5 linked regions of the Rattus norvegicus genome follow. The protein of the gene in region 3 interacts with the protein of the main gene of each other region in a pairwise test. Links are inferred from orthologs where the notes say so. Each region holds a gene or a part of one and is shown on either strand. Other genes may lie near its edges.

Region 1 (4,552 bases), on a different chromosome or scaffold from region 3:
GCAACCCTCACGCCGGGTTTCTGGCACCTCTTCTGGTAGGGAGGAGGCAGAATGAATCTTAAATAGATTCAAGCTGCTAGTTCCTCTGTGGCCCAGCTTTGTGACTGTGCCTCAGTGACTTCATCTCTCTGGGCCTCAGCTTCCTCATTGCTGAATAGGCCAGGTTGGCACCTGCTTTTTGAAGTTGTCAAACAGTCCACCCAGCCTGGGGCTGGCCCTTGGGTACAGCACTAGCTGACCCACTTTACCAGGTGCTGCTGTGGGCACCTCACACAGAACCCTGGCAACAGCACAGACATACAGGGAGTGGCTTCTGAGCCTGGCCACTCCGTAGGTCCCTTTATCATCAGAAACCACAGAGCCACGGTAGTGCCCACTTCACAGATGAGAAAATTGAGGCCCGGAGACACAAAGCCCTTCCTTTGCCCCAGACCATACAGAGTGGGGAGTTGAAAGCAGGTGGTGACTTCCGGGGCTCTGCCCTGTGTCTAATAGGACCAAGATGGTGCTGGGCAAGGTACATCCTATACTGTAGAACTCTTTCCTCACATCAGCTGGGGTGGGGATGTGGGCTTCCTGCTGTTGGGCCTGGCCACCTTCCTCCTGTTGTGAAGTTTCTTTTCCTTCAAGCCTCTTCTTTAGGGATTGTCCCCTAGGAGGCAGGGATTGTTGAGGTGAACCGTGGGGTGCCAGCTCCTGCTCACAGGCTGTGCGGCAAAGGGACAGAGATCCCAGGCTGCTGGGTCCTGAGAAGGGACTAAGGTGGAGGGACCAGGCAGGGGACACTATGTAAATTGGGAGACAAAGAGTTTAGTTGTAGGAAACTGGGGAGAGGCAGGCTAAGGACCTGGACCAACTCCACAGAGGTGGATGCCCTAGCCACAGCGAACCAGCTGACCCTGTGACACACATCTGTCATCACGTGGGAGGCTGAGGCAGGAGGACCATTTGTGAGTTCAAGGCCACCTGAGCTGCATGAGACCTGATCTTTTTACAGCATTTTATGTGTATGGATGCTTTGCTTGCGTTTATGTGAGGTCGGAACACGGCATGGGATCCCCTGGAACTGGAGTTATGGGTGGTTGTGAGCCACTGTGTGGGTGATGGGATGCGAACTTGGGTCCTCAGCAAGGGCAGCAAACACTCTTAACTTCTGACACACCTGTCCCACCCTGAGAGGTCTTGTCTTAGGGGTGGCGGATTGGAAGGAAGGCTCAGTAGTTAACAGCACTAACTGTTCTTGCAGAGGACTGGATTCAGTGCACATGCGCTTGAGCACAAGCGCACACAATTAAATTAACAGAAGAGCCAGCAGCCCTTGTTACTTCTCAGCCACCTCCATTTGTAGTCCCTGGGCCTGGTGCTTACCCATGCAGCAGTGGGCAGCAGAATGCAGGCTTAAGCCCAAGGGCAGCCCCGGATGCTACAAATACAATCAGAACGAGGTGGCGGGTGTGACCTGCTGGGCCGGGGGCAGCCCCAGACTTGTTGGCTGGCAAAGCCAGAGAGCTAGGCCAGGTGTGCCTAGAGCTCACAGGGTGGGTGTGGGTGGGGAGGGACGTGTGATAAGCACTACACAGGTCTGTTTCCTCATAAAGAACCTTTCTTTATTGAACATGTCTGGGAGATGCCCTAACGTCCCTCCATACCCACTCTGAACTCATGGGTCCCACCTCCCGGGACCCTCCTAGTCCTTTCCTTGGCGGAAGCACATGTGACCTCCCCAGAGCCTGTGAGTGCCTCCAAAGGTGAGCAGTGAGGCAGGGCCAGATGCCACATTCTGAGGCTGAGGTTAGAGCAGGGCAAACCTGGGGTCCTCAGGACTTCTGGATCACCACCTGGAACTTACCTGGAACAGAAGGGCCAAGACAGGAAGCCCGTGAGGGGGCTAGCAGCTCACCCGACTCTGCACCAACAGCCTGGGGGGCCCTGGCAGTGAGCGGGTCACAGGGGTACCGTCCCACCCAACTGGCCCGAATTCCAGACCATAGGGGAGCCCAGAGGCAGGAGGGCTAGCCTGAGCTCCTGACATGTCCTGCTCATTGAACCCAGGTCCTCATAGAGGGGTGACAGCTGTCAGGGCGAGGGGTGTCAAGATAATGGCAGATGGGTGGTGAGTCCACTGTTCCGAGCATCAGGAACCTGGCCAGGGTAGGACATGTCCCACTGGGTCCTGTGCCAGTTTCTTCTCTTAGAAGCACCCAGGGACGCAGCTGGGTATGTGGTTCCGTTCCTGTTACCTGTTTCTGGGCCTCAAATTTCATGTCACAGTTTGTTAATCTGGTTCCCCTTCCCAGCACTGATGAGGGACCAAAGATGGGGATGCCCCAAAGCCTGCACCACGTTTAAGGGAAGCAAACACCCGACCCCCAGTGACTTACAGGCGGGCAGGGACGCCACGGAGGCAGTGACCAGGCTCTGGAAGCCCAGAGTATGGAGGGCGCCGCACAGGAGGCCGCAGGTGAAGGCCAGGAACTGGGGTGGGGGTGGGGGACAGAACACTGTGTGTGGGAAGAGGAGAGGCCAGGCCCCAGCCCCAGGAGAGGCCTAGCGGGGTGGGCAGATGGTCATATCCTGTTTCTCCCAATACCTTGGGGGCTTCCTCTAGGTACTGTGGCCCCGAGCCCATGGGGATGAGGAGGGGGAAGCTGTTGTCCTGCAGCACATAGGTCCCCTGTCAACAGAAAAGAATGTGGGGACTGGGTATTAGCAGCAGGGAACCCACAAACCCAGCAGCCAATCCTTCCGAGACAGGTGGGACACCCTGTGGCCATGTGGCATTAGGAAGGAGTCCTGCCTGGCAGGGGGGCTGGGAGAAGCTGACTCTCTGGCCCTTGATGTGGTGGCAGGGAATGAGCACAGCGTGGGTATTCAAAGGGGACTACTGGGACTTGCCTGGGACAAGAACCGTCATGCTGAGGCCACTGCAGGGATCACTCCTGAGGGGCAGGTTGAAGTTGAAGAAATAGCCCTGCCACTCACTGCAGTCCTGGCTTCCCTTAGGGCTCCAAGGAGCAGGGGTAGACAGTGATACCAGTCTAGGTATCACCCAGAAGCCAGGCTGGAGCTGGGCTCGCACACCCACCTGGTGGTTGGTGCGGAGTCCGTCCATATGCTTTTGGAACATGGCCGCCCACAGATCTTTGCACAGGAACTTGAGGGCATCTAGCTCCTCCCTAACGGCCAGCGTCTCCCGGGGCAGCCTGGATGAGGATGTGGAATGAAGTCTGGCCCATATGGTACATGTGTGGGCCCATGAAACCTTCCCCACCCTCCGTCTTATCAGCAGGAACCCCACTTCAGGTCTGCCCACCCTTCCAAGCCGCAGAGGAAGGCAGGTGGGTCTGGCTCTCACCTCTCACCCAGAGCCTGCCCCACGCGGAAGCCCAGGCCCTCCAGGACTGACAAGCTCTTCTTCTTTCCCTAGAAGGCCAAGAGAGGGAGGCTCAGGAGGACACTGCACAGGTTTCTCCCCAGTTCTCAATTCCCTTGGTCAGGAAAGTTCACCTTCCAGATCCTTCCATCAGATCCCTGGAAGCACTGCTGGTCTCCTGCAGTTTGGTCCCTGAGCCTGGTCCCTCTCACCTACCCCAAACCCATGCTGTCCTGGGAGGTTGGGGCCTAACTGCCAAGTTCACCTAGGCCATCAGTGGCCAGTGCAAACACCCAACCAGAGAAGCAGGGAGTCAGGGGCTGAGCAGGTCCAGGGTTGCAGATGCTAATGAGAATGGCGGATGGGAGGGTGGGGGGATGGATGGCCAACTAAGGCCAGGGGGCTTGAGAAGGGTTAAGAAGTTGTCACAGTGGCACTGCAGACCTGTCACCTGTCACTCCTACTCTCTGGGAGGCTGAGGCAGGAAGGTCATGTGTGCCTGATTACAGAGTGTATCTGTGGCCAGCATGGGCAACAAGGCCAAAACCTATCTTTAAAAACAAAAACATGGGGTTGGGGATTTAGCTCAGCGGTAGAGCGCTTGCCTAGCGAGCGCAAGGCCCTGGGTTCGGTCCCCAGCTCTGAAAAAAAAAAAAAGAAAAAAAGAAAAAAAACAAAAACACAAGACTATAGGCTATCCCTATAACCCCAACATCAGGGAGTTGGAGGTGGGAGGAGGGGGGACGGGGACGACGAGGTCATCCTCAGCCACAGTGAGCTAAGGCCAGCCTGGGCTGTAAGAGGCCCTGTCTCACAGTTACAGAAGGGTTAGGGACATTGCTCAGCAGTTAGGTATTCAGCTAGTAATGCCTGAGACCTTGTGTTCAGTCTAAGTTCAGTCTAACCCCAGCACCACCGAGTTCAAAGGAAATGCCAGCTCAGACGGGGGTGGGGTAGGGTGGGGGTGCGGGGAGGGAGTAAGGGGTTGGGAGTGGGGGGCTGGGTGAAGGGCATCTACATTTCGAATCAAGGTGTTAATTAGCCAGGCTCAGGGTTACAGGCCTATGAGCACACTGCTTGGGAGACTGAGGCAGAGGAATCATAAACTCAGGCCAGCTGGGGCTACACACTGAGACACCCAATCACTCTGGAGGCAGAGGCAGGTGGACAGACCTCTGT
Region 2 (5,041 bases), on a different chromosome or scaffold from region 3:
AAAAGATTAGGCAGTGAATGTAAGACCTGAAGAGGTGTCCCCGGAGTCACCCCCAGCCTCCGCTCACAATGAAAGAGGCGGATGCCGCTGAAGCAGGGGAAATGTTGGGCCCCCAAGGCTTCGCAGGGCTGCGGTTTCCCCCTTCACTGCTCCTACCTCCGCCCAGGAAACCTAAACGACTACGGGCGGGGCAGACAGCAGAGCTTCAGCTGGCCGCCAATGACACCTAAGCAACCAGCGCAGAGGGCCGGCCTCGAGAAGCTTCCTTATGCGCCTAAAGAGGATCCGCAAGCTCCCCCACCCACCATTAGGGCACGGCCGAGCCAGTGCGCATGTCGGCCGCCCTGCTTCAGGGCGGTGGGTCTAGTGCTGCAGAACCAATCAGAGCCTGAGAACTAAGAACGTCACCGGCTTGCGAACAGGAACCGACATCAGCACGCTGGGTGGAACAAGCCGCTGATTTAGCCAACCAGAACGCAGTTTCGCTTGAATCAGAGATGGGGCTGTGGCTGCGACTGCTGCTGCTGCTGCGAATTTTCTTCCCCGGGCTCTGTCCTTTAGTCGCCTGTTTCTCAGTTTCTAATAAATGATTTGTACAACCAAATAAAGTACTAAGCTCCAGAACAAATTATTCCACATAGTGGCGGATCGCTTTGTCACTTGCAGGACCAAGGACATTATTAGTATAGTGACAGTTCTTATATAAAGGTGCATTGCAGTTAGGTGAGCGGCCCAAGGAAAGCCCACCACCTAGGACCTAGGAGCCACTAGTGATGGTCTAGAAACCACGCGTACGTTTAGAGGAGCAAATGTTAATGCAAGGATGAGGGTGTGATAAAGCATTCGGAAGTGGGGTGGACTCACATTTTCTTTTTAGTTCAATTTTATTTGACTTTATGCACCTACCAGAAACTGCAGAAATATTACAAGACATTGAGGGTATCCTGATGGTAGTCAAGAACTAGATAAAGCATAGAACTGTCTTGTCTTGTTTTTCTGCATAGCCTTGTCCTGAACTCATTTTGTAGACCAGGCTAGTTTGGAGCTTAAAAGACAGATCCACCTGCCTCTGCCTCCCAAGTGCTGGGATTAAAGGAGTGTGCCACCACTGCCTCACAGCAAATATAAAATATTAATGGAGGAGTGGTTCACGCCTGTAATCCCAGCACGTTAGAGTCTGAGGCAGGATTGGCATAGGTTTGAGGCCAGCCTGGGCTACATAATGAGTTCCAGGCCAGCTTGGGCTAAGTAAGAGATCCTGTTTCACAAAAAAATTTTTTAAAAGGCTACAGATAGGAAAAGCCTGAGCAACTGGGTAACTGAATAGGCCAGGATCCAGCTAGGATCTCTCCAGATAAGTGCAAAGAGGAGTTGGACTTAAGCACTTGGGGTCCAGGAGGTATAAACTGGAGCTCCTACTGATGAGAGAGCAAGTATGACTAGGAGTAAAGGGCTGAGAGGGTAAAGCAATGCAGCAAAGAACATCAAGGTAGGGGAGCTGCCTCTGAAATGTGAGGCTGAATAGAAAACCCAAGAAATCATTTTGTTCAGCCCTAGAAAATTACTAAAGATGTTACAGAGATCTGTAGAAGGCCAGGAAAGTGACATGAGAATATGGCACCCAAGACAGTTTATCTGCCAACTCCAACTCAGTTGTTGAAGGAAGCCAGATTGGGGTCCCATCCTCAAACATTTGACTTGTGAGCTCAGTACGCTCTGGGCTGTGAAGATAGTATCCCTGCCATATAGGAGCTGGAAAAAAAGCATACCCCACTATGCACATTCACAAATTTCCCAAGGCCACTGGGTGACATTTATTGTAAAAAGCACATGGGGTGAGGTTGGGACCAGGTAGGGCAGGTTCTAGGAGGCAGAATCAGAGGCCTCTGAGCTGTCTTTGACATCTGTGCTTTCTGTGGTCTCACTGACCTCACTGAGGTCCTTGCTGTCCCCACCACTATCCTCAGCAGTCAGGCCCTTCTCCTCACGACAGGCCTCTCCTGAGCTCAGAAGCACGTTGCCTTTGTTCTCCGCCTTGTTCTCCATGGCCGACAGCACCATGTGCCTGCCCTTTTCCTTCAGCTCCAGGTGCCGCCTCAGCTGCCGCCGGGAGCCCAGAGGGAAGCGGGTGGAAAGAGACAGGGCCTAAGTCTCCAGACAGGAGACAAGAGGAGCCAGGCCCTGGGGCTGGCTGGGGGAAGGGACACAGTGAGAAGTGGTAGGGCCAAGGCAGGAAATAGGACTGGGTAGAAATGTAGTTCAATCCTACCTCTGTCCTAAGCCTGCTTCATCTGTAAAATGACATGAGTTCTATTGCCCTCAAATACGCTGCTGGGAAGCCCCCAAGACAGAGCAGTGCCTTTCCAGGAGGCTTGGTCAGAGAGACCCTTTCTCCCTAGCCCAGTTTAATCCTAGATCTGAGCAGGCTGCCCCCAACCATAGTAGTCCCAATTCCTCTGTTAAAAAAAAAATCTTCCTACTGTCTCTCCTATTCCACCCATCTCCAGACTTCTTCCCCAGAAAGCATCCCATGGCCTCCTTTACAGTCAATGAAGGCCATGCCCTGACTTGACAGCTTAGGGAGTAAGGGAAAGAGGGGCTCTGATTCCTAGCTTTACAACCACAAAAGCTGACACTCAGTCTCGGTCTTGCCTCTAGTCGCCACTGCCTCACTCTGTCTCACAGCTCTTTGACATCTGTACTTTCTGTGGTCTCACTGAAAATAGACACCTTTCCCAATTACAGAATCTCCTCTACTGCTGGAATTGCTGCCCTGGCCTGGCTGAACTCTTACCTCATCAGCCATCTGCGTGAGGTCCCGCTTCATTGCATATGCATCTTCCCCATCTGCATAGTATTTGGGCTCCACTTCGCTGATCCTGGGGGTAGGATCAAGACACATGCCTAGGGGCAAATTCTCCAGGTTCTTAGGCTACTGGGGTAAATGTCATCTCCCCCTGTAGGACCTTTGTAGAGGCAAAAAGCCAGTGTAAATGGGTTTCTCCTTTTTGTTTTTCATTTGACTGGATTCTTGTTCAACAGCTATGATAGTTTTCTCTGCTCTTCAAGTAAAGCCAAATAGCATGTAGCATCCAGGGCACTTCTGATTCCTAGACTTGCTACCACTTTGTCCCTAGCCCAACCATCAAGGACTTGTGTATTGAGTTGAAGTCCTTAATTCTGCCTTCCTCTCCCTGACCTGCTCCCTGTTATTTACTGAACACATAGTTCCTCTGCTAGGAAAGAGGGACACTGTACCTGCATGTAGATGGTCATCATAGACAACCTGGTTACTCACCAGATGGATGAGGGGAGGGAGGTGTGTGTGCACAATTAAGTATCCCTGACACTGGAAGAGAAACCCGTTGATGACCTAGGAAGGTTCCTTGCCAGTCTTTAGGGATACATGCTGGGTAACTTCCTCAGTTGCTTTCCATCTTATTTTTTTCAAAATAGGGTCTCTTACTGAATCTGGAACTTGTCCATTCAACTAGGCTTGTTGATTAGTGAACCCTAGGGATTCTCTTGTCTTAACCTCTTCAGCACTAGGATAATAGGTACAGGGCACTGTATGTGGCTTTTATACATGAGTGCCAGGCATCAAACACAAGTCCTCACAATTAAGCTATCTCCTCAGCACCCATCTTTTGAGACAGGGTCTTGCTATGTGGTTGAGACTAACCTGGAACTCCCTATGCTGGGACTGCAACCCACAGTCCTCCACTTTGAGTGCAGAGATTAAGAGACATGTACTACCATACCCAGCTGGGAACTGCTGACTTAGCAGGTAAAGCAGTTCCTGCCACAGAGGCATCTTAACTAGGTCAAAAGTCCCTCCATGAATATGGATGTTGAACCCAGAAAAGCTGAAGACCACCATCCTGTTCCAATGGTGTCATCTTCACTGGACCCCCTCAAAGTCTAGTGTGGCTCAGTGGTTCCTCAAGTTAGTCTATTCGAGCCTCACTTTCAAGTGGCACTAGGTACTACTAAGTCCTCTCTTCATAGAGATGGTCATGTCCAGAGTCCTGCCCTCAGCCATCAGAAACACTCAGAGCAATAGGTCCCTCATTGCTTTTGCTCATGGCCCCCTTTCCTTGCTGTCCCCTTTCATCTGCTCTTACTTGATGCTTCCTGGAGCCAGCCATTTCTCAGCCTTTGCTCATGCTCTAGTCTATCTCTCTTTACTCCTAGACTATCACAGAGAAGCCCTGTGAGTCCTTTACCACACTGCCCTTCACCAGTCTCACTAGTACCAAGCCACCCCTCCTATACCCAACATATATTGGACCCTCCTCTACCACACACAGAGAAAACAGATGCTTTCTTCAGGTCAGTCAATAGCCAATGAGTATACAGAAACCCTCCCAGCAATGTCTAGAGTCCCTCAACCCCTTTCTCAGCCCAGCAAACTGGATGGATCATGCCACTTAAAGAAAATATCTTGATGTACTTACTGAAAGTTGAGGGTGTTGGAATAGAGATGTAGGGCAGCCCGGTTACTGTAAGGGAAAAAGGCATTGCTGAGCTTCACAAACTTGGCCAGACAGGTTGACAGGTTAGGGTTAGGGCTAGGGTTAGGGATATCCTGCCCTTCTTCCTTGCCCCCTCCCCTTTCCCACTATTTCCCCATATTCTTATGAAGGCAGTAAACCCCAGAACCACTATCAATTGGGTGCCCTTTCCTTCCCACTTCCCAGCATTGCCCCTTCTTCCCCACTTCCCAGCATTGCCCTTTCCCCAACTTGGCTTCCACCTCTTCCTGACATGTAGGGAGACATATTTGGCATTGAAGTTTTCTATCATGGCTCGAGAGGCCTGGTCCATCAGCTTCTGAGCCAGGCCAAGGCGCCGGTGGGAACGTTTCACAGCCTGAGAGAAGAAAATTGGATAGAAGTGCGACCACTGTGGCTCCTTCAATTATGTCCAATCCACCTCTTCCAAACCCTCAGTAGCTCTACTCACCAGTGAGGTGATATGTCCATGGGGCACATCGTCTGGGTCCTCTTCCCTAGAAGAGAAAGCTAGAAAGGAGCCTGGT
Region 3 (6,413 bases):
GGCTGTCCTCACCTTATAAAGTCAGACTTCTGCTCTTACAAACGATGCATTTATCTGTTTTTTGTTTTTCTGGTTTGCCTGTTTATCCGTGGACTGCAGCCCTAAGAGCATGCTGGGCCATACGCTGCACGAACCTGTTGTTATTGCCTCACTTTCTTCCAGAAGATCTATCTCATTTTGCATTCCTAGAAATTAAGGTGTTGTTACGTCTTGTAGTTTGGTGAGCCTGTAAGGTATATACACAAAGTTGAGTTAGACCTATGTGGGACAGAAGGAAGGATTGTAGTTAGGATAAAGTGTCAGATGAGTACAGGCTGCTGCCACTGCTCTTGGTTAACACCAGAACTAGGTTATAAGAACCTAGCTGAAGGAAGACACCATATACTGGATATGGGACAGAGAAAGCAGGCTGGCTCTGAGCTAGAAGCTTCTTCCCGCTGGCTGGTGGTGCTCATAGTGCCAGAAGGTGTAGTCTCCTGAGGGGAGAAAGTCAAAGGGCTGGACCAGCTGTAGAGCTGCAGGCTACAGTTCTGACCTACAAAGCGGGCACGCCCACTGGTGCACCATCGGCAGGAAGCGGGCGCGCCCACTGGTGCACCATCGGCAGGAAGGTTGTGGGATTAACCAGTCTCCTCATTGATGCGAGCACTGCTGTGTGGGTGAGAAAAATGATTGATACTGTAAACCACACCACAGACTGGGGGCATCGGGTCCTAGCGGAGATCATACTCCTGCATTTTGCTAAGTGGGACATGCAGCCAGCTGCCTCCTAAACGTGTGTTAATACCCAGAGGCCAGTGCAGCTCCCAGCTGGGCCAGAGCAAGAATAGCGCAGAGACTGGTAAGAGGCCAGAGCGCTCGGAGTAGGAGCCGGGGGTAGAGAGGGCGCTGCGAGATGCTCTTCTCTGGCTGTGGCCTGACTGTGGTGTGGCTGCAGCAGTGCTGGGCGCAGCAGCTGTGGCTACCTGCCTAAGACCTGCACGGGTGAATGAGGACCTGTGATAGGAGGGGCTGGTTGGGAAGAGGAGGTGCGGTGGGAGTGGGAGAGGCTGAGAGAAGGCAGTGGGGCAGATGAGCATGGTGGTCTGTACATACAGAAGGCTGTCAGAGGTTTAGAAAGTCAGTCAGTGTGAATAAGGCTCAGTTCTTTTAACTCTATCAGGAATTAGTGAACTATATTCAGAGACAAATGAAATGCATACTTTTAGTATAACCTCTCTGGCTGTATTTTGTGTGTGAATTATGTAAAAAATGAAAATGGTTCTTTTCAATAAAACACAAATTAGGAAGTATTATCTGAGTTTTCATTTGGCACAGTAAATATTTTGCATTGCATTAAACTTTGAGGTCTGAAATTGCCGTCTGCTGTTAATAAATGTGTTACTAGTTAATTTCTTTACTTTGAAGTTGGGAGTTTATAGATTTAGCTGGTAAAATTTTGGTTGTTCCTACATACCCATGTAGTAATCTATAATTTTGAGAGAGTATCAATATTGAGTCTACTGTCTTCTTTCTGGACTTTCCACACTATTTTTAGTCTCTTCTGGATATTCTTTTAAGGGTTTTTATTGGTGATAGGGGATAATTAAAGTTTTCAGTTTACAGGTGTGTAAATATTTTTGTATTTTTGGAAGAAGTGGTGTGCGCAGCTGGTGCTGGGCTTTTGCAGGTCTGGGAAGGATCATTCAGTCTCCAAGAGCTGCTGGAGGGAGGATGGGAAGGGGAGTTTGGACTTTTCCCTGTGTGTGTGTGTGTGGGGGGGGGGGATCAAAGAATAGTTTACAAGAGTCTTAAGAGGACAACTTGAGGGAGACCTGCCTTTTTTGTTGTTGTTGTTGTTGTATAGACTTTGTAAAGTTATTGAACAATGCTGTACAAAGTATTTCCTGCTGATGTAGAAATCAAAGTGTCCTTGTTATTCTGGCTGTGGGTAATGTTCACAGGAGCACAGTGCTGTAAGGGCTTGTCTTCTTTAGTGCTCGCCACACCCAGGAGACGGAGTACTTAGGCCCGTCCCGTGGTTTGGGTTAGGGAAGTGAAGCATGTAACCTGGGACTGGATCTGCTCAACCCATAAAGTCCAACCTTGGAGCAGTCCGTGCACTCTGAGTGGAGCATGGTCGCATCTGGTGGTAATTGTGGTCAGTTGTTATCACCTAGATTTCGATACTGATTTTATGATTAGCTGGAAGACTATCCTTGGACTTAGCTGTGTACATGTCCTTGTGTCTGTGTACATACAGTGGCTTGAACATTCTCAAGTGGCTCACAAATGTTAGCACCCTGGTAATGAGGACTGCTTCATGGCAGCTCTGAAGTTCTTATGAAATCTGAAATGATTTCAAGATGAAAACCACTGGTTTGTCTGAAAGTCACAGTGGGGGCATAGACTAAGTTAGTTGGACCTAAACTCCCTTGTTCTAAATGCGTGTGTGTTTATCTTTACTGTCCTTTCTGCTTTTTCTGACCAAGGTTATAGAAGAAATAGATATAGAAGAAATTAAGAAAGCTTTCTTCTTCCCTCATGCCTGTGGATTGTATCAGCTGTGACAACATTTCTATATTTCCACATCTCTCCCAAATCACTTCTGCGTAGTACTTTTACCATGAGATCTCTTTGTAAATGTCAAGCGGTTGGACTCTTTTTATTGTTGTTTTTTGACTGTATTTTATCATAAGCTTATGCTCTGTGTGGATTTTGGTTTTGCCTAGGATTAACCACATTCTTTTGTGCTTAGCTTAGGCTGTCCTATGATGAAGTCTTGCTATGGCTAACGACCCCTTAGAAGGTTTCCATGAAGTGAACCTCGCTTCGCCTACCTCTCCAGACCTTCTTGGTGTGTGTGACCCGGGAACCCAAGAGCAGACTACCTCCCCGAGCGTCATCTACCGGCCACACCCTTCGACGTTGTGCTCTGCCACTATCCAGGCCAATGCCTTAAATCTTTCTGACCTTCCCACACAGCCTGTGTATTCATCCCCGAGGCATTTAAACTGTGCAGAAATATCTAACATCAGGTAGGAGATTATAGCACACGTACTTTGGGTTATTGTTATTTTTAAGAGTTGGCTGGCTTGTCTTAGAAAATATGAGTAATATGTTTGCCCATGTAGAGTGATGCATTTTAATCCTTAGACCAGGAATCGGCAAGTTTATGAATATGATCAGCCAAAAAAATGTTTTAGGTTTAATATGATGCAGGATAACTGATCACAAAAACCTGTATCTGGTTTTGGTGTGGCTCAGCCCTAGCAGACATCTTTAATCCCAGTACTTGGGAGGTACACTCCTTTAATCCCAAAGAATGAAGGTAAACTTAGTTTGTTGAAGGAAGCACATGTTTGATTGAAAGTGATGTCTAATTGAGTGGCCACAAAGTGACGAATCAGAGAAAGATTTGACAGAATAGGATATGTCCGACTCTCAAGAGAAGAGAGAGGAAAGGGAAGCTACTTAAGGGTCTGTGCAGAGAGAAAGGAGGCAATTTTACTGGGTCAGCTTATAGAGACAGGCTGAAGAGAGAACAGGCTGGACACAGGTGAAGACAGCATGAGCCAGAGAATGAGAAGGAGCCAGAAGGTTAGAACAGATCGTCGGAGTTAGTTTGAGGCTAAGCAGAGCAGTTCAGGAGTAGGTGAGAGAAGCCAGATTGGATCCATCAGCTCAGAGAGGAGTTTGAGCCAGGATAGCAGAGTTGACCAGCCAGCCAGAGTTCAGAAAGAATTAGACAGGGCAAGCTTATTCAGCAGCAAGTCTCAGAGGTGGAATTCTAGGCCTACGTTAGATTGTACAGAAACTAGAAGTTTCTGGGACTAGGCCTAGGTTAGCAGACTGAGGTGGTAGCCCTCAGAGATGACATTTACTACAGGCAAATGAATTATTTTTTTACATTAGCAGGCCACATAGTTGATTTCTTTTTTTAAAGATTTTATTTGCTCTTATGTTTTATATGTGGTTGTTTAGCTTGCATGTGTGTCTATGTACTGCATGTGTATGGTACCTGTGGAGGCCCAGGAACTGAGTGGGTGCTGTGTCCTCTGTGAGAATAGCAGGTGCTCTTAACCACTGAGCCACCGCTCCAGCCCTGGCCATACAGGTTTCGTTCCAACTCTTCAGTGTTATTTCTATGGTGTGAAAGCAGCCACAGACTGTGTAAATGTGTAAGTATGACTGTTCCAGTAGAACCTGTGGCCATAGAGACTTCATACAGTTTTTGCAGGTCATTCAGTGTCACTGAATTCTAGTCATCTGTTTCGGGCTTGTGGGTCTTAGGAACAGGCGGAGACTTGATTTAGACTTCAGGCTGCAGTCCTCGAGCCCCGAGGCTCCTTGAGAAGTAGTTTGTAGTAACACTTTCTGTGGTGTGCAGTATGACTGATAGCCACCAGCCACATGGCTGTTGAGCACTTGAAGTGTCAGGTTTGAGGACCTGCGGTTAGTGAGATGTAGATTGGCAAGTTCACTGTTTCGCTGCAAACCTCTGAGCTTTCTCTCCTTCCAGCATTCATGTTCCAGAGCCAGCATCATCGGTAGCCTCTGAGGTGGCAGCAGGGCTCACGAGGTTCACCTCAAGGAAGGACAGCTGCAACGCAGAGAGGGAGTTTCTGCAGGGCGCCACCGTCACAGAGGCTTCTGCTGGCAACGATGACATCTTTGGGTTGAGCACGGACAGCCTGTCCCGTTTACGGAGCCCATCTGTTCTGGAAGTTAGAGAGAAGGGCTACGAAAGGTTAAAAGAAGAACTTGCAAAAGCTCAGAGGGTAAGAAACTCATGTTGTCCTTCCATACAGTGTTAGAAGTGACTGCTTGGGGTGGCAGCATGAATGGCCTCAACAGCCTTGCCTTACCTAACTCAACCTCGGTGGGCAGGCAGCATCTGTGGCTTGTGAGATTGCTTTAGAGATTCAGAAGCTCTGCCTGGGAGTAGGAACTGGAGAACTGAGGTTCTGAAGCTATGGACCGACTACCGTGTGTCTTGCTTTATTTGTAATACTCTTTCACGGGTTAAATCCCACATGAGTTCCACATGGTTCACTTAGGTGATTGGCTTGTGAAGGCCTCCAGTCTAGGCCTTTTTACTTGGAGGAATTGTTGCAATAATGTTTGTTACTGTTTTTTCTTCTGCTAATTGTGAAAATTGCCTGTATTTTGTTTGGAGACTTTTCTTTCCTTGATAATATGGCCAGCTCTTACTGTCCCCCAGCCCCAATTGAGACGGAATCACAGAGCACACTCTATAGTGTTAGGAGACAGGGCACGCGTGTGCGTGCGTGCGTGCGTGCGTGCGTGCGTGCGTGCGTGCGTGCGTGCGTGCGTGTGTGTGTGTGTAGAGGCAGAAGGCAGCATGGGATGTTTTCCTCTGTCACTCTCTGTCTGCTCCTTTGAGGCAGGATCTCTGTTGGACCTGCTCTCTTGCTTAGGCTAGAAGGTCTCAAGCCCCGGCCGTCCTTTTGTGTCCTCTCCAGCTGCTGGGCTGTTAGAGGCGATGCTAGGATGCTGACTTGTTTCATGCGTGCTGGGATGAGCTCTGGTCCTCGTGATTGTGCAGCAGACATTCTTAACTGTTTAGCCCTCTTTCTAGCTTAGGAAAACTCATGGTGAACAATGTTACTTTATTAGCCTAAAAATAAAAGAAGAGTTCGAACAGTGAGTAGAAGAATGAGATGGTAAAGATTGAGAGCAGAATTCAGTGAAATTAACAAGAGAAATAGAAAATGAATAAAACAAAATATGGATTCTTTAAGCCAATAAAATTGACAAACCTCTGGCAAGACTGACAGGAAAAATAAGAGACAGATTATCAAAATTAAGAATAAAACAAGTATTGCTCCTGACCCCACAGACAGCAGAAGTAAAGTTTATGAATGATTCCATGTACATAATTTTGACAGTTGTGTCAAATACTAATTTGTATTTTAAAAATTGAGAAGATATGTCATGCACTCTTTCTTTGTTTATGACATTGTTCAGGCATGTGTCCCCCATCTATTATAAATGAACGTAAACATTCATTTATGTTTGTTCCTGCGTGCCTATCTCCTAGCTCCCTTGAGAATCTCTGAAATCTTTAGGTTGTAGTACTTGGAGCTGGGTTGAGGTAACTGAAATGATTATGTTATATGAGCATATACATACTGAATTTTATTAGGATGAGTATAATATAGCTTTAACTTTGTTTTTTGGGTTTTTTGTTTGTTTGTTTTTTTTTTGTTTTTTTGTTTTAGGAGCTGGGGACCGAACCCAGGGCCTTGCGCTTGCTAGGCAAGCGCTCTACCACTGAGCTAAATCCCCAACCCCATAATATAGCTTTAATGTCAATGTGTAGGACTCAAGTCTTGAGGAGAACTCGAATATTGCAAGTATTTTCTGAATTCTGATAACTTATGCATTAAAATTATGCCATTGACCTTTTG
Region 4 (5,844 bases), on a different chromosome or scaffold from region 3:
TGGAGAGAAGCGGGGAGGGGAATGGGGAGAGAAGGGACAAAGGGGGAAGAGCAAGAGAGAGCAAGAGAGTAGATGTTTCAATACTTAGAGTCAAGCCAGCAAGATGGCTCATTGAGTAAAGGTGTTTACTGCCAAGCCTAATGACTGAGTTTGATCCCTGGACTCCACGTGGTAGAGGGAACTTCTAGTAAGCTCCTATCTGACCTGTACCCTGGCACTTGCCTACTTCTGCCTAAAGAAGTCTGAGAACACTGACCTTGGGAGGGGTATGTGAACTTGCACTGGGTGGTACCATAAGGAAGATAGACAGTCTACATGACCACAGATGTCTGCTAGCACTACAAGTCTCATGTAGCTACATGGTCCTGATGGATGGCTCAGCTTTGCCATGGTAGAGATGGCTCAGAGGTTAAGAGCACTGACTGCTCTTCCAGAGGTCCTGAGTTCAATTCCCAGCAACCACATGGTGGCTCACAACCATCTGTAATGAGATCTGATGTGTGTCTTATGGTGTGTCTGAAGAGCGGGACATTGTACTTACATACATAAAATAAATAAATTGAAAAAAAAGTACTCAGCCAGTTTTCAGTAAGTTACTTGAGGTAACCCAACATGTATAAAATAGGTTTTGTGTGTTTTGTTGGACATGGTGGCACATGCTTAGAATGCTAGTACTTGGGAGGTAGAGGCAAGGGAATACCTTCAAGGTTCAAGTCTTGGCTACATTTGAATTTGAGACCAGACCAGGCTATTTGAGACTTAGTCTCAAAAAAAAAAAAAAAAACCTGTTAGCCATCTGCCTTTTACAGGCTCAGTGTTTTGAGGACTTTCAAGGCAGGCTGAGGCTGTACAGTGGTCGTTATTGGCTCATTTGTACTTGACTGCAATGCAGATGTAACTCCACTTTGAGTCAGGCATTTGTGTAAGTAACTCAGTTGGACTTTGGTGACAGGCTTGAGGTCCTTTACCCTGGCTTTGGTTCACCTGGATAGAGCAGCCTGAGTCAAAGCAACACAGCTGAAGAGCTCAAACCCAGCAGGCCCTCCTCCCCAGGCAAGCTGGAGGCCAGCACTTTGTACAAGAGTGAAAAATAAAGGACTTTATTGCAGGGCTAACAGTAGGAGTTGCCAGGGGCATGATGGCCAATGCTGGGTGCTGAAGCGGACAAGGCACGCTGACAGACCCACACGGTTCAAAGCACAGCAGAAATCAAGGTTTCTGTGGGACGCGGGTAGGAAAGAGGATTCTGTACTAGCAAACTGCTGCAAAACAGGTCAATCCTCCGAAGAGTGAAAGTGGCATAGCAAAATTGTGAGTTTGCACCTGTCCCAAAGCCAGGACATAACCGAGGACACGAAGTATCTACAGGAGCCGGCTCCACATAAGCCATGGAAAGTGCTCAGCCGCCACTGGGCGCTCTCTTCAGAGGCTGACGGCCTGGTGAAGGCTTCATTCTTTCCTTTGATTCTCTTGGGTCCCTGCAGGTCTCTGGAGATCCCAAGTTTGGCACTGTACCTGAGGCTCCCTCCACTCTTGAGGATGGAGGTCAACAGGCTAAGGTCCCTGCTGGCAGGGCTGATGGCTTCAGGAGGCTGTGGAAGAGCAGCGCTGCAGTAGCAGGGTATGGCAGCTGTCACACACACGCACTGGCTTAGGGTAGGAGGGCAGAGCCAGCTCGTTGCTAGAGCAGGTGTTGCAGAAAATGTGGCCACAGTTCCGGCAGTGGTGCTAGAAGTCGGGACAAAGGCAGTTAAGACTACTGGGGAAGTGGGACCCCACACCTATCATGTAAGGCATGGCTTCTCTAAATGGCTATGTCCTAGACCCATGTGCTTTTAGGCAGCCTCTAACTGATCAGGTGGTTTGCCTGTTAGTCAACCAATTGGTCCTGCTGCATATAGAGGACTGCCAGTGTCATACACACTTGCAGCAGCTCTACACAGAACTACACATGGCTCTACACATGGCTGCCCCACCCATGCCAGTCATTAGAGAACGTGGGGCTAGGGGCTCAGCCGATCAATGGGCAGAGCTGTAGTGAAAAGAGGCTTTTCCAGGCAACCAAGGAGTGGCTCCTACATACCTTCCTCCGGGAAATGGAGAAGTCCTTCTCACACTGCTTACAATGTGTTGCCTCATCATCTTTCAACCATGTGTGGCCCTGAGGAAGAAAGAGCACCTGAGAACTGTACCTCCTGGCAGTCCCTGGCAGTCCCTGGCTGGCTGCACCTACTATCTTGTGACTGCCTGCCGCATTTTCTCACCAGGCCTTGCTGCTTCACTAGATGATGACGTCTGTTCTCTCAAGTGGCTGCAGTGGACTTCGCATGTCCATATAAAGTGCCTGCTTACAGCATCCTGGCCGCTATCAAGGCTGATTCAGCAAAGATGCTATCCTGTCCTTTTGTTTGTTTTGAGACAGGGCTTCTCTCTGTAGACTTGGCTGTCCTGAAATTCACTCTACAGACTAGGCTGGCCTTGAACACAGAGATCTGACTGCCTCTGGTTCCCAAGTGCTGGGATTAAAAGTGTGGACCACCACCACCTGACTTCCCTGTTCTATTAAGTTCCCTGTAGCTGAGGTCACCACAGTCAAACTCCAGTGCCTGTAACCCCCATGTCTGGCCTGAGCCATGATCCCATGACTAGCTAAATTGGCTGGAGGGAAGGCTGACCAGATCTGAGCATGGACTTCTGCAGAGACAACATGCAGGGGAGGGAAGTTTTCAGCCCAGTGAAGCTCCTCTGGACACCCGGCCCTGGGTCCTCAAGAGGCCTCGGGGAACAGCTTAGCTACTTTACATAAATGAAAACGGAGGCTCTGGAAGAGGATGTCTTGCAAATTTTTACAAGGGAAAACTAAAGTGTATTCTCCCTTAGGAATTCTGCAGAAGTGTGAAGGGCCCATGACACCCTTTACCAGAGGAGCAGGCTGCTGGGGCTACCTAAGGTACTCCCCCTTACTCTTGAAAATCCCTCTGGAGCTGTCGGCTGCCACTGTCACGCACACACTGCATAGCAAGACAGAGACAGCAGCCCCCAACAATTACAATCAAGGAGCTTCCTTCAGGGCTGGAGAGATGGCTCAGCGGTTAAGAGCACTGACTACTCTTCCAGAGGTCCTGAGTTCAATTCCCAGCAACCACATGGTGGCTCACAACCATCTGTAAAGGGATCTGATGTCCTCTTCTGGTGTATCTGAAGACAGCTACAGTGTACTCATATATAATAAATGAATAAATCTTTAAAAAAAAAAAAAGGAGCTTCCTTCAAGAGCAGGAGCAGCCAGGAATCCCTACTCCTGCTGGGCTCCCTTTGAAGGAGCCCCTCTGCTCTGCTGTGGCAACTGGATGAGGAGGCCCTCTCTACCTGGCACCTCGTGGACATGCAGAGCAGAGACCCTGCTGTCTGCTAACTTCTCAAGCACACAAGGTCAGAGAGCCAACGGGCATAGCGTCTACCAAGAGCTTGGGCTTAGGGCTAGGGTCTTAGAACAGCAGCCACCAGCAGCTCCTGCCTGTCCACCTGCAGCGCTGACGTCTCAGAATGCCTGCTCACTGTGCTGTCACCACTGTGTGTGTGTTGGGGGGGCACTCTGAGTAGTCTTTATTGTTCAATGAGACAGTCTCATTGTGTAAGCCTAGCTAGGCCAGCCTTCAACTCCGTGACTGGTGGCCTTTGCCTCCTGAATGTTGGGTTTGCAGCACTGCAGCACGCTGGGCTGTGACTCTGTTGGTAGAAGTCATTTTATCTAATACCTCCATTCTATCCATACCTCCATTCTATCTATACCTCCATTCTATCCATCCCTCCATTCTATCCATCCCTCCATTCTATCCATCCCTCCATTCTACCCATCCCTCCATTCTATCCATCCCTCCATTCTATCCGTCCCTCCATTCTATCCGTCCCTCCATTCTACCCATCCCTCCATTCTCTCCATCCCTCCATTCTATCCATCCCTCCATTCTCTCCATCCCTCCATTCTCTCCATCCCTCCATTCTCTCCATCCCTCCATTCTCTCCATCCCTCCATTCTATCCATCCCTCCATTCTCTCCATCCCTCCATTCTCTCCATCCCTCCATTCTATCCATCCCTCCATTCTATCATACCTTCAGAGCCTTGTTTACTTCCTTGATGTCCTCCATCTTCAGTTTGGACCTGCAGAAACAGAGACAATGTTTCAGCAGTGAACGATGAAGACACAGCTAATGTACTGACTGGGGTGGGGGTGGGGACGGGTGCTGGTACGGACGGACCCTGGAGTGGAAGGATGAAACAGGGTGCTTTTAAAATGCTCCCCATTTCTGTGACTCTCCAGCCTTTAATGGATGAACAGCTCCTTCACACAGAAGAGAGGCTTGCACAAGCTTTAGGTTGGTAGAACTACGTCAGCAAAAATGAAACACTGTGCTGGCGATCTGAGGGGAACCTTCTGGATTTTTTTTGGTGTGTACGTGTGGGATGTGTATGTGTGGTGTGTAAGTATGGCATGTGTATAGTGTGTGTGCATGTGTGGCGTGTGCATATGTGGTGTGTGTGGTGTATGCGTGTGTGGTATATATGGTGTGTATATGTGTGTGCGGTGTGTGTGTATGTGTGATGTGTGTATGGTATGTGCATGCGTGGTGTGTGTATGTACGGTGTGTGCATGTGTGGCGTGTGCATGTGTGGTGTGTGTGTGTGTGTGTGTGTGTGTGTGTGTGGGGTGTTCTCACATGCTTGTTCGCACATGTCAGATGGGAACAGATGCACGATATTGGGTGTTCTCCTTGATCACTTTTCCACTTTACCTCACCAGAGCTTGCTGACATGGCTAGTTTAGCTAGTCACTTGCCCTGGGGGATAGCCTGCCTACCTGAGTGTTGGGATTACAGGCAGATTACCTACCCACTGGCTGTTAGTGTAGCTGCTGGGATCCAAGCTCCAGTCCTCGTGCTTGAAGAGCGAATACGTGCTCTATCCAATGAACTATCTTCCCAATCCCATGTGTAGTTTAGACTGGCCTCAACTTTGTGATCCTCCTGCCTCCACCTCTTTAGCGTTTCCAATTGGCACAGGCCTTTTGGGCCCCTGCCCCAGGCTCGGAAGTGCAGGTTGGTGCAGGTAGACCATGACTGTAGCACAGAGTCTACAGCCCTTACTTTTATTTTTGTGTTTTATTTATTTACTTTTTTGAGACAGGGTCTCAGGTTCCAGGCTTCCCTGGAGGCCAATATGTATACCAGAGTAGCCTCAAACTCAGAGATCCATCAGTCTCTGCCTCCCAAAATGCTGGGACTAACAGTGTCCTCCACTATGCCTGGCAATTAACCCCAAGTAATTGGAGACAAGTTAAAATTCACTCTGTAGACCAGGCTGGCCTTGAACTCAGAGGTCCACCTGCCTGTATGCTAGGATTAAAGGTGTGTGCCACCATAGCTAGCCTTGGGCTTTCTTCAAAAGCTGATTATTCTTAAATACCTTAGATTGCTAGGTAGATTTCTGAGATAGGCTGAATTAAGCCAGAGCTTAAACATAGCATCAAAACATCCTAAAAACCGCCAGGACCTTTGTTATTGACTAGCAGGTACCCCTTTTCCTGTCCAGCTGCAGAAAAAGGCCAGCAGACTGACTGAACAAGAGGCTGACCTGGCATGGCCCTGCAGGAAGGGGAGATAGGGCGAAGTAGCTACTTGGGCAGTCCTATCTGGGTTGCATGTACACCTAACTCTGGACAGCCACAACAGCATGGCTTAGAGGGACACAGTGACTGAGCATCTCCAGGTAGGATTCCAAAGCTAGATCACGTGGCAGCACTGAGACAGCCCCAAAGTCAGAAGCCCACATCTTTGAGGACCCT
Region 5 (5,844 bases), on a different chromosome or scaffold from region 3:
TCTATCTTCTGAGTGCTGGGATTACAGTTCTGTGATGTGTTCCTACCTCCAGGTTATGCAGTGCTGGAGATGGAAGCTACGCTCTGTGCATGCTGGGTAAGCATGCTAGCACATCTCCGGCCCCTCTGCTCTATTTTGAGACAGCTCTTACTGTACAGCCCATGCTCTCCTCAACCTTCCTGCCTCAGTTTCCCAAGTGCTGAGGTTACAGGTGTCAACATGCCTGCCCAGCCAGTGACTCTCATAGCACGGCAACCCAATAGGAGACTTATCTTCTTCCCAAGTCTGTCTCTGTCCCGGACCCCAAGTCCATGGCCCCTTAGTTGGTAAAAGGGCTGAGAGCAGGGGGTTCATATAGAGCCTTCCGAGACTGGGGTACGAGAAGAAAGAAACAGCAGTGGTTGGGATAGCCCACCTTGGTGTGGTAGCCAGGAAACAGGTGCTCCGTCATGGGCCCCACATATGTCCTCAGCAGCTGAAGCCACTGGTCCTCGTACCCCACCTGCTTCATGTGGATGTCCACGGTGGGAACATTCTCATACCCTCCAGCCAACCTGGAGTCCTGTGGACAACAGACACTGAGCCGCCCACATCCCTGGGCTAGCCCATTCTCCCTCAGGGACAATTCCAGCTGCTTCTTGTTGGTTCCCAGGGTTTGGTTTTTTGTTTTGTTTTGTTTTGTTTTTTTGTTTTTGTTTTTGTTTTGTTTTGAGACACGGTTTCTGTGTGTAACCAAACTGACCTGGAACTTGATCTATAGACCAGGCTGGGCTTGAACTCAGAGTGCCTGCCTCTGCCAAGAGCGCTGGGATTAAAGGTGTGCACACCACTGCCCAGCAGAGTCTCTTTTGGTCTCTGCCATCTAGAAGAATTTTCTCTTCTATTGTCAGATTCTGATTCACTGCTGCTGGGCCTTTTAGTCTCTGCCTTTGTTAACTCTGCTGTGAATCCACATGACCTACCCGTGTTACCTGGTCATGCTGTCTAATACCCATTGCCCAGGAAAGAAGCACTTTCTGTGTTAGAGCCAACCTTGACTGTCGACTTGATGGGACCTGGGTTCACCTAGAGGACAAGCCTCTGGACGAGTCAGGAGGGATCATCCAGCTTAGATTAAGGGAGATGGGAAGACCTGGCCACCGTGGGTGGCACCATTCCCTAGGCTCAGGTCCTGGCCTGAAAGCAAGCTGAGCAACAGCACTCATCTCTCTGCTTTCCAACTATGATGCAACGTGACCATGTACCAGCTCTCTTACACTCCTGCCATGCCTTCCTACCATAATGGACTTGTGCCTGTAGACTGTGAGCCACAGTAAAAACCCTTTCCTCAAGTTGCTTTGGTCAGATACTTTCTCCCGGCAACAAGGCAAGTAACTAGCATACCCTTTATGAGCCCTGCCCCCGGGATCCCTCCCTGCCCCTCTCAGGTGCCCTCTGCCTCACCTCATGCCGGCCTCCAGACCACTGGCCATAGTGTTCCATTTCCTCCACCAGCTCATCACACATCTGCTCGGTCAGCAGTGGGAACCAGTACACATCTGGGCATGGCTAGGAAGGGCAGGGCAGCAAGGGACAAGGCAAGGTCACAGAAGACAGGCAAGAGGTAGGACAGGCAACAAGGACAGGGAGGGGAGACATACAGGAAAGAATCCATGAAGGGGGTACCCAAGCTCTCCAGGTCGCTGCTGGAGGAGGGGTGCTCAGTAAAGGGACTTCAGCAGGGCAGGAATAGAGTGCCTGGAGCCCCAGCATCTAGGACAATGACCTTGTTCTGTCTTTTCCCCGCTTTTTGAGACAAGGTCTTTGGTAGCCCAGGCTGTCCTCAAACTCACTATGTAGCTGAGGCTGGCCCTGATCCTCCTACTTCCACTTCCTGAATGCTGAGATCACAGGCATGCACTTTGTGCTCAGTTTATCCGGTGCTGGGGACTGAACCTAGGGCTTTGTGAATGCTGGGCGAGCACTCTACCAACTGAGGTACGGCTCCAGCCCATTTATTTAGTTTTAGTTTCAGACAAGGTCTCCCTATGTGATCCAGGATGGCCTTGAACTTGCTATGTGTCTGAGGCTGTCCTGCAACTCCGAATCCTCATTATCTTCTTGCCTCCACTACCTGAGCTCTGGTATTCTCAGCATGACCACACCTCTGTTTGTTTTTATGTGCGGTGGGCACAGCTGTGTGGGGGTTGCATGCGCACATGTGCGCCTGTGCAGGACTGAGGTTGATATCAGGAACTGCTCCATTGTCCTTTCACCTTATCCAGGGAGGCAGGATCTCTCAATCGAACCCAGAGCTCACTGATGCAGCCAGTCTTGCTGGTCAACTTGCTGAGGATCCTCAGCCTCTGCCTTCTCAGGCTGGAATTACAGCCTGATGGGCCACCACACCCATCTGGCATTTCCTTCTTGCCATCTGACCATGTCTGGTCTGGTACCCATTATGCAGCCCAGGCTAGCCCGAAACTCTTCATCCCCCTGCATCAGCTTCCAAACCTCTAAGATACAGACCCATAACACTCAGTGTGGCTATTAGCCTCCCTCTTGCCCGAATAGCAAACCCTTAGTCCCTGGGAGCTCAGCTTAGAACCCACCAATGCCAGCACTGGGTGCTTCACACAGCCCAAGGTCCTGGGGCAGCTTACCTGTTCTACCAGCCCCTCCCCATCCAGGGCCCGGCTGTAGTTCTCATGGATGTACTGTTCTCTCCAGTCCTGCAGGAAGGATTAGGGCACCTGAGTGGAGCCTTCCTCACGCCTACCCTTGGGTTGTCCCTCCCATGTGGGCAATGGTGGTGCGGCTGCTGGCTGGAAACAGGGAGCAAAGGTCCCCCTCTTACCACAGGGTTGTCAAAGATCTGCCAGAGGTCCGGGTGTAAGTGGTCAGTGTCATAGTGGGAAGTAGACAGCAGCCGGCCAAACTCGTGCTGATTGCTGAGGTGCAGGAAGATGCCCTGGAGTGGGGTAAAGGGTGGGCATGCGTGAGGAGGACATCAGGAGGCTGTGACACAGCGTCGAGTCCCCAGACTGGGCAACCCATGCCAACCACCCCACTCACCTTGTCCCGGACACTCCTGCAGAAAGCCATATCTGGGTCTGTGTCGCTGCTGGAGAATACTTCCTTTTCGGGGAGCTCTGTCCTCAGGGTCTCTCCTCGGATCACATATGCCTGGGATATGTAGGGTACATTCCACAAGCCCCTGCAGGCACCGGTGGACAACCCCTCAGACTACGCTTTATTCATTGTTTCAGGCTGGAATTACAGGTGGGCCTTCTCAGGGTCCCCCAGAACCCTGAGCCTGAGCCATCATAGCACCCCTCCCACAGCAGTGGCCTGTCTAGTGGCTGTACAGGATGCTGCGGTGGGACCCAGGGAAGGGCCCCGCACCCCCACGGTACACAGGGGTGGGACTCACACTCGCTTCCGCTGCACCAATTCCACGTAGTCTTCGGAGCGGGCATAGTACTCATCGGGGCTCAGGGCCCCCCAGAAGTTGGACCAGAGCTTGCCGTGGCGAGAAAGCATGGGAGCTATTACCTTCCTGTGAATGAAACGCCGGTGAGGAGGGGCCTCCGTCCAAACGGACCACGCCCCACCCAGGGAAGGGCTGAAGCTCCCAGCTTCATAAGTGCAGTCGGTCACCTGTTTTGTTCAATCAAGATACGCAAGGTCTCCGGGTTCGTGAGGACAGCATCGGCATCCAGGCTAAAGTAGAACTCACACTCGGGGTTCTGCCGACAGCTATCCCTGGAGGGGAAGAGCCACAAAGGGAGAGATGAGCCCAATTGGGGCATGGAGGCCGGGCACGGGGGATGGCGGGAAGAACAGGGCTCTCCCAGTTCTGAGATGAGGTCAATGTCTCCTTCCCCAGAGTGACAACGGCCCAGGTAGACTCACTCACATGGCCATGTCCCTGGCCTCCCCTGAGCTCAGGGCCTCCTCTGGCCCCACTAGCTTTACAGCTGAGAAGTGGTCCTGGAGCTGTGGCCAGGCATCTGCAATGTGAGGCTCGTGGTACACCTCCTGAAGATGGATAGGAGAAGGATGGACTGACAGTCTGGGCAGAGAGGTGGTACACGAGGGATGCAATCAGGAAGGACAGACAGGAAGAGGTGTAGGGTCCAGTGGGGTGTGGGTGCGTGTTCCCCATATCTCACGTTGTTGTGAAGGAAAAGAGAGATCCTGTCCGGCGGGTAATCCAGGAGCAGTAGGCGCTGCAGGAACCGAGGTAGGAAGGGAGTGGGCTGCTCCACAAACACGGCCAGAAGCACCCGGGGGGGAGGCTGGAGGACACCACAGGACAAGGCTCACAGGAGCCCGGACCTCTCTCTGCCCACATCCCTGGCCAGCCAGTCACTCACTGCCCCTGAGGCTACCATGTCAGGGTGGGCAGGAGCTCTGCCCCCAAGGCTGTCCTGCTTGCCCTCTGCCTACATCTCCACTCTCCTCACCTGCCCCCCCGGGAGTGTCCTCCGGTTCAAGTTGCAGAATCCACAGCCTCCCTGGGGAGTCCAGCCATTGGGGACATAGTTCCCCAGGTAGTTAAGCTGGAGCTGTTGAGACAGGGGTTGATTGGCTAATGTGGAGGTGACTGGGGACAGATGGGAAGGACATTGGGCTCAGGAAAAAGTCAGCAGGGTGAGGAGGCACTGTCCCAACCCCTTTTCTGCTGGGACTAGAGAAAACCTGGGAGGTGGTCCAGGAGGGTTGGGGGTACCAAGGGCTAAGGGCACTGGGGACACCTTAGTGGGACCGTTGCCATGGACCACAACAGGAAGCGTGTCGTAGGCCACATTTCGGATGCGCACACGGTTCTGGTCGAACTTTAAGACCACTTCATCTGGGGGGGAAAGGGGAAGATTTCCGAGAGTTCCTTCATTTGGGAACCATGAAGCAACCAGCTCCTTAAAGTGTGAGGTGAGGGGGTCCCCAGCTCCTCTAGTGGACAAAGCGGTGTGTAGCCAAAGGCCTGTAGTTTAGGGTAGTGGTTTTTGCTTTTTGTTGCCAAGCTAAAACTTTATTATAAAAACGTTATTTTCTTAAGTTGTTATATAGTATGTTAGAACGGAGCTGGTGAGGTAGCTCGGTGGATAAAGGCTCCTGCCACCAAGCCTGCCACCCAGAGACCACACAGTGGAAGGAAGGAAGAGCTTCTCAAGCATCATCCTGTGACCTCTGCAGATGCCACGCGCTCGCACTACCCTCCCCTCCAAAAACAAATACATGAGAAAAAAATTGGGGTCCTTTTCTCCCTTTTGTGATGAGTGGCCTGCATTATGTGGCCTGCAACTCGAAATCTTCCTGCCTCAACGTTCTGAGATCTGAGATTGAGGACAGAACACCACACTTGACTTTTCTAAGTCTGACCATGCTGTTGCCCGTTTAGAGAACTCTCCTACTCTACCTGAGTGACCTGGGAGTTATCACTAGGCTAAGGGAGTCAGTTTCTTCACCTGTCAAAGGATCTTCTGAGGTTGGCAGCCAGGGAACACGCCCTTCGCAAAAGCTCCATGTTAATGTAATCACAGCGGTAGGGTCCCTGAGGGGGTGCCTTCGAACATGCTTGGTTGATAGATACCTGAGATCCAACCACTGGTTTTTCTCTTTGTTTTATGGATGGTGCTAAGATTTGAACCTGGGGTTTCTGTATGCTAGACAAACCCTCTACCAGAGCACACCCCCAACCCTTACTGGAGATTCTAAGTAGAGGCTCTACCACTGAGCCACGCCCCCAGCCTCTCACTGGGGGATTCTAGGCAGGGGCTCTACCACTGAGCCACGCCCCCAGCCTCTCACTGGGGGATTCTAGGCAGGGGCTCTCCCACTGAGCCACGCCCCCAGCCCCTC

The links.
Region 1: the proteins of Rab3ip (region 3) and Trappc6a interact in binary tests that used the Homo sapiens proteins (3 or more experiments, as listed by UniProt). The two-hybrid records come from large-scale screens. The link is inferred for Rattus norvegicus from reciprocal best matches to the Homo sapiens genes RAB3IP and TRAPPC6A.
Region 2: the proteins of Rab3ip (region 3) and Naa10 interact in binary tests that used the Homo sapiens proteins (3 or more experiments, as listed by UniProt). The two-hybrid records come from large-scale screens. The link is inferred for Rattus norvegicus from reciprocal best matches to the Homo sapiens genes RAB3IP and NAA10.
Region 4: the proteins of Rab3ip (region 3) and Rufy1 interact in binary tests that used the Homo sapiens proteins (3 or more experiments, as listed by UniProt). The two-hybrid records come from large-scale screens. The link is inferred for Rattus norvegicus from reciprocal best matches to the Homo sapiens genes RAB3IP and RUFY1.
Region 5: the proteins of Rab3ip (region 3) and Plod3 interact in binary tests that used the Homo sapiens proteins (3 or more experiments, as listed by UniProt). The link is inferred for Rattus norvegicus from reciprocal best matches to the Homo sapiens genes RAB3IP and PLOD3.

The regions. Positions count from the first base shown.
Region 1 is NC_086019.1:88,290,522-88,295,073, reverse strand, and holds the end of Trappc6a (trafficking protein particle complex subunit 6A), read right to left. Parts: intron 3,424-4,552; coding exon 3,356-3,423; intron 3,204-3,355; coding exon 3,086-3,203; intron 2,675-3,085; coding exon 2,591-2,674; coding exon of another isoform or gene 2,476-2,590; coding exon 2,382-2,475; coding exon of another isoform or gene 2,266-2,381; exon of another isoform or gene 1,850-2,265; coding exon 1,818-1,849; 3' UTR 1,581-1,817; downstream 1-1,580. UniProt on the Homo sapiens protein: May play a role in vesicular transport during the biogenesis of melanosomes.
Region 2 is NC_086039.1:156,805,602-156,810,642, forward strand, and holds the end of Naa10 (N-alpha-acetyltransferase 10), read right to left. Parts: intron 5,012-5,041; coding exon 4,966-5,011; intron 4,873-4,965; coding exon 4,757-4,872; intron 4,503-4,756; coding exon 4,458-4,502; intron 2,967-4,457; coding exon of another isoform or gene 2,948-2,966; exon of another isoform or gene 2,933-2,947; intron 2,905-2,932; coding exon of another isoform or gene 2,892-2,904; exon of another isoform or gene 2,880-2,891; coding exon 2,795-2,879; intron 2,192-2,794; coding exon of another isoform or gene 2,101-2,191; coding exon 1,864-2,100; 3' UTR 1,777-1,863; downstream 1-1,776. UniProt on the Homo sapiens protein: Catalytic subunit of N-terminal acetyltransferase complexes which display alpha (N-terminal) acetyltransferase activity. Acetylates amino termini that are devoid of initiator methionine.
Region 3 is NC_086025.1:54,443,323-54,449,735, reverse strand, and holds the start of Rab3ip (rab-3A-interacting protein), read left to right. Parts: upstream 1-2,735; 5' UTR 2,736-2,766; coding exon 2,767-3,017; intron 3,018-4,501; coding exon 4,502-4,760; intron 4,761-6,413. UniProt on the Homo sapiens protein: Guanine nucleotide exchange factor (GEF) which may activate RAB8A and RAB8B. Promotes the exchange of GDP to GTP, converting inactive GDP-bound Rab proteins into their active GTP-bound form.
Region 4 is NC_086028.1:35,205,729-35,211,572, forward strand, and holds the end of Rufy1 (RUN and FYVE domain-containing protein 1), read right to left. Parts: intron 4,164-5,844; coding exon 4,115-4,163; intron 2,162-4,114; coding exon 2,084-2,161; intron 1,729-2,083; coding exon 1,585-1,728; 3' UTR 1,073-1,584; downstream 1-1,072. UniProt on the Homo sapiens protein: Activating adapter involved in cargo sorting from early/recycling endosomes. Regulates retrieval of proteins from endosomes to the trans-Golgi network through interaction with the dynein-dynactin complex.
Region 5 is NC_086030.1:25,315,548-25,321,391, forward strand, and holds part of Plod3 (multifunctional procollagen lysine hydroxylase and glycosyltransferase LH3 precursor), read right to left. Parts: intron 4,838-5,844; coding exon 4,740-4,837; intron 4,551-4,739; coding exon 4,449-4,550; intron 4,281-4,448; coding exon 4,155-4,280; intron 4,021-4,154; coding exon 3,899-4,020; intron 3,745-3,898; coding exon 3,640-3,744; intron 3,539-3,639; coding exon 3,413-3,538; intron 3,250-3,412; coding exon of another isoform or gene 3,237-3,249; exon of another isoform or gene 3,197-3,236; coding exon 3,055-3,196; exon of another isoform or gene 2,951-3,054; coding exon 2,837-2,950; intron 2,712-2,836; coding exon 2,643-2,711; intron 1,549-2,642; coding exon 1,444-1,548; intron 563-1,443; coding exon 416-562; intron 1-415. UniProt on the Homo sapiens protein: Multifunctional enzyme that catalyzes a series of essential post-translational modifications on Lys residues in procollagen. Plays a redundant role in catalyzing the formation of hydroxylysine residues in -Xaa-Lys-Gly- sequences in collagens.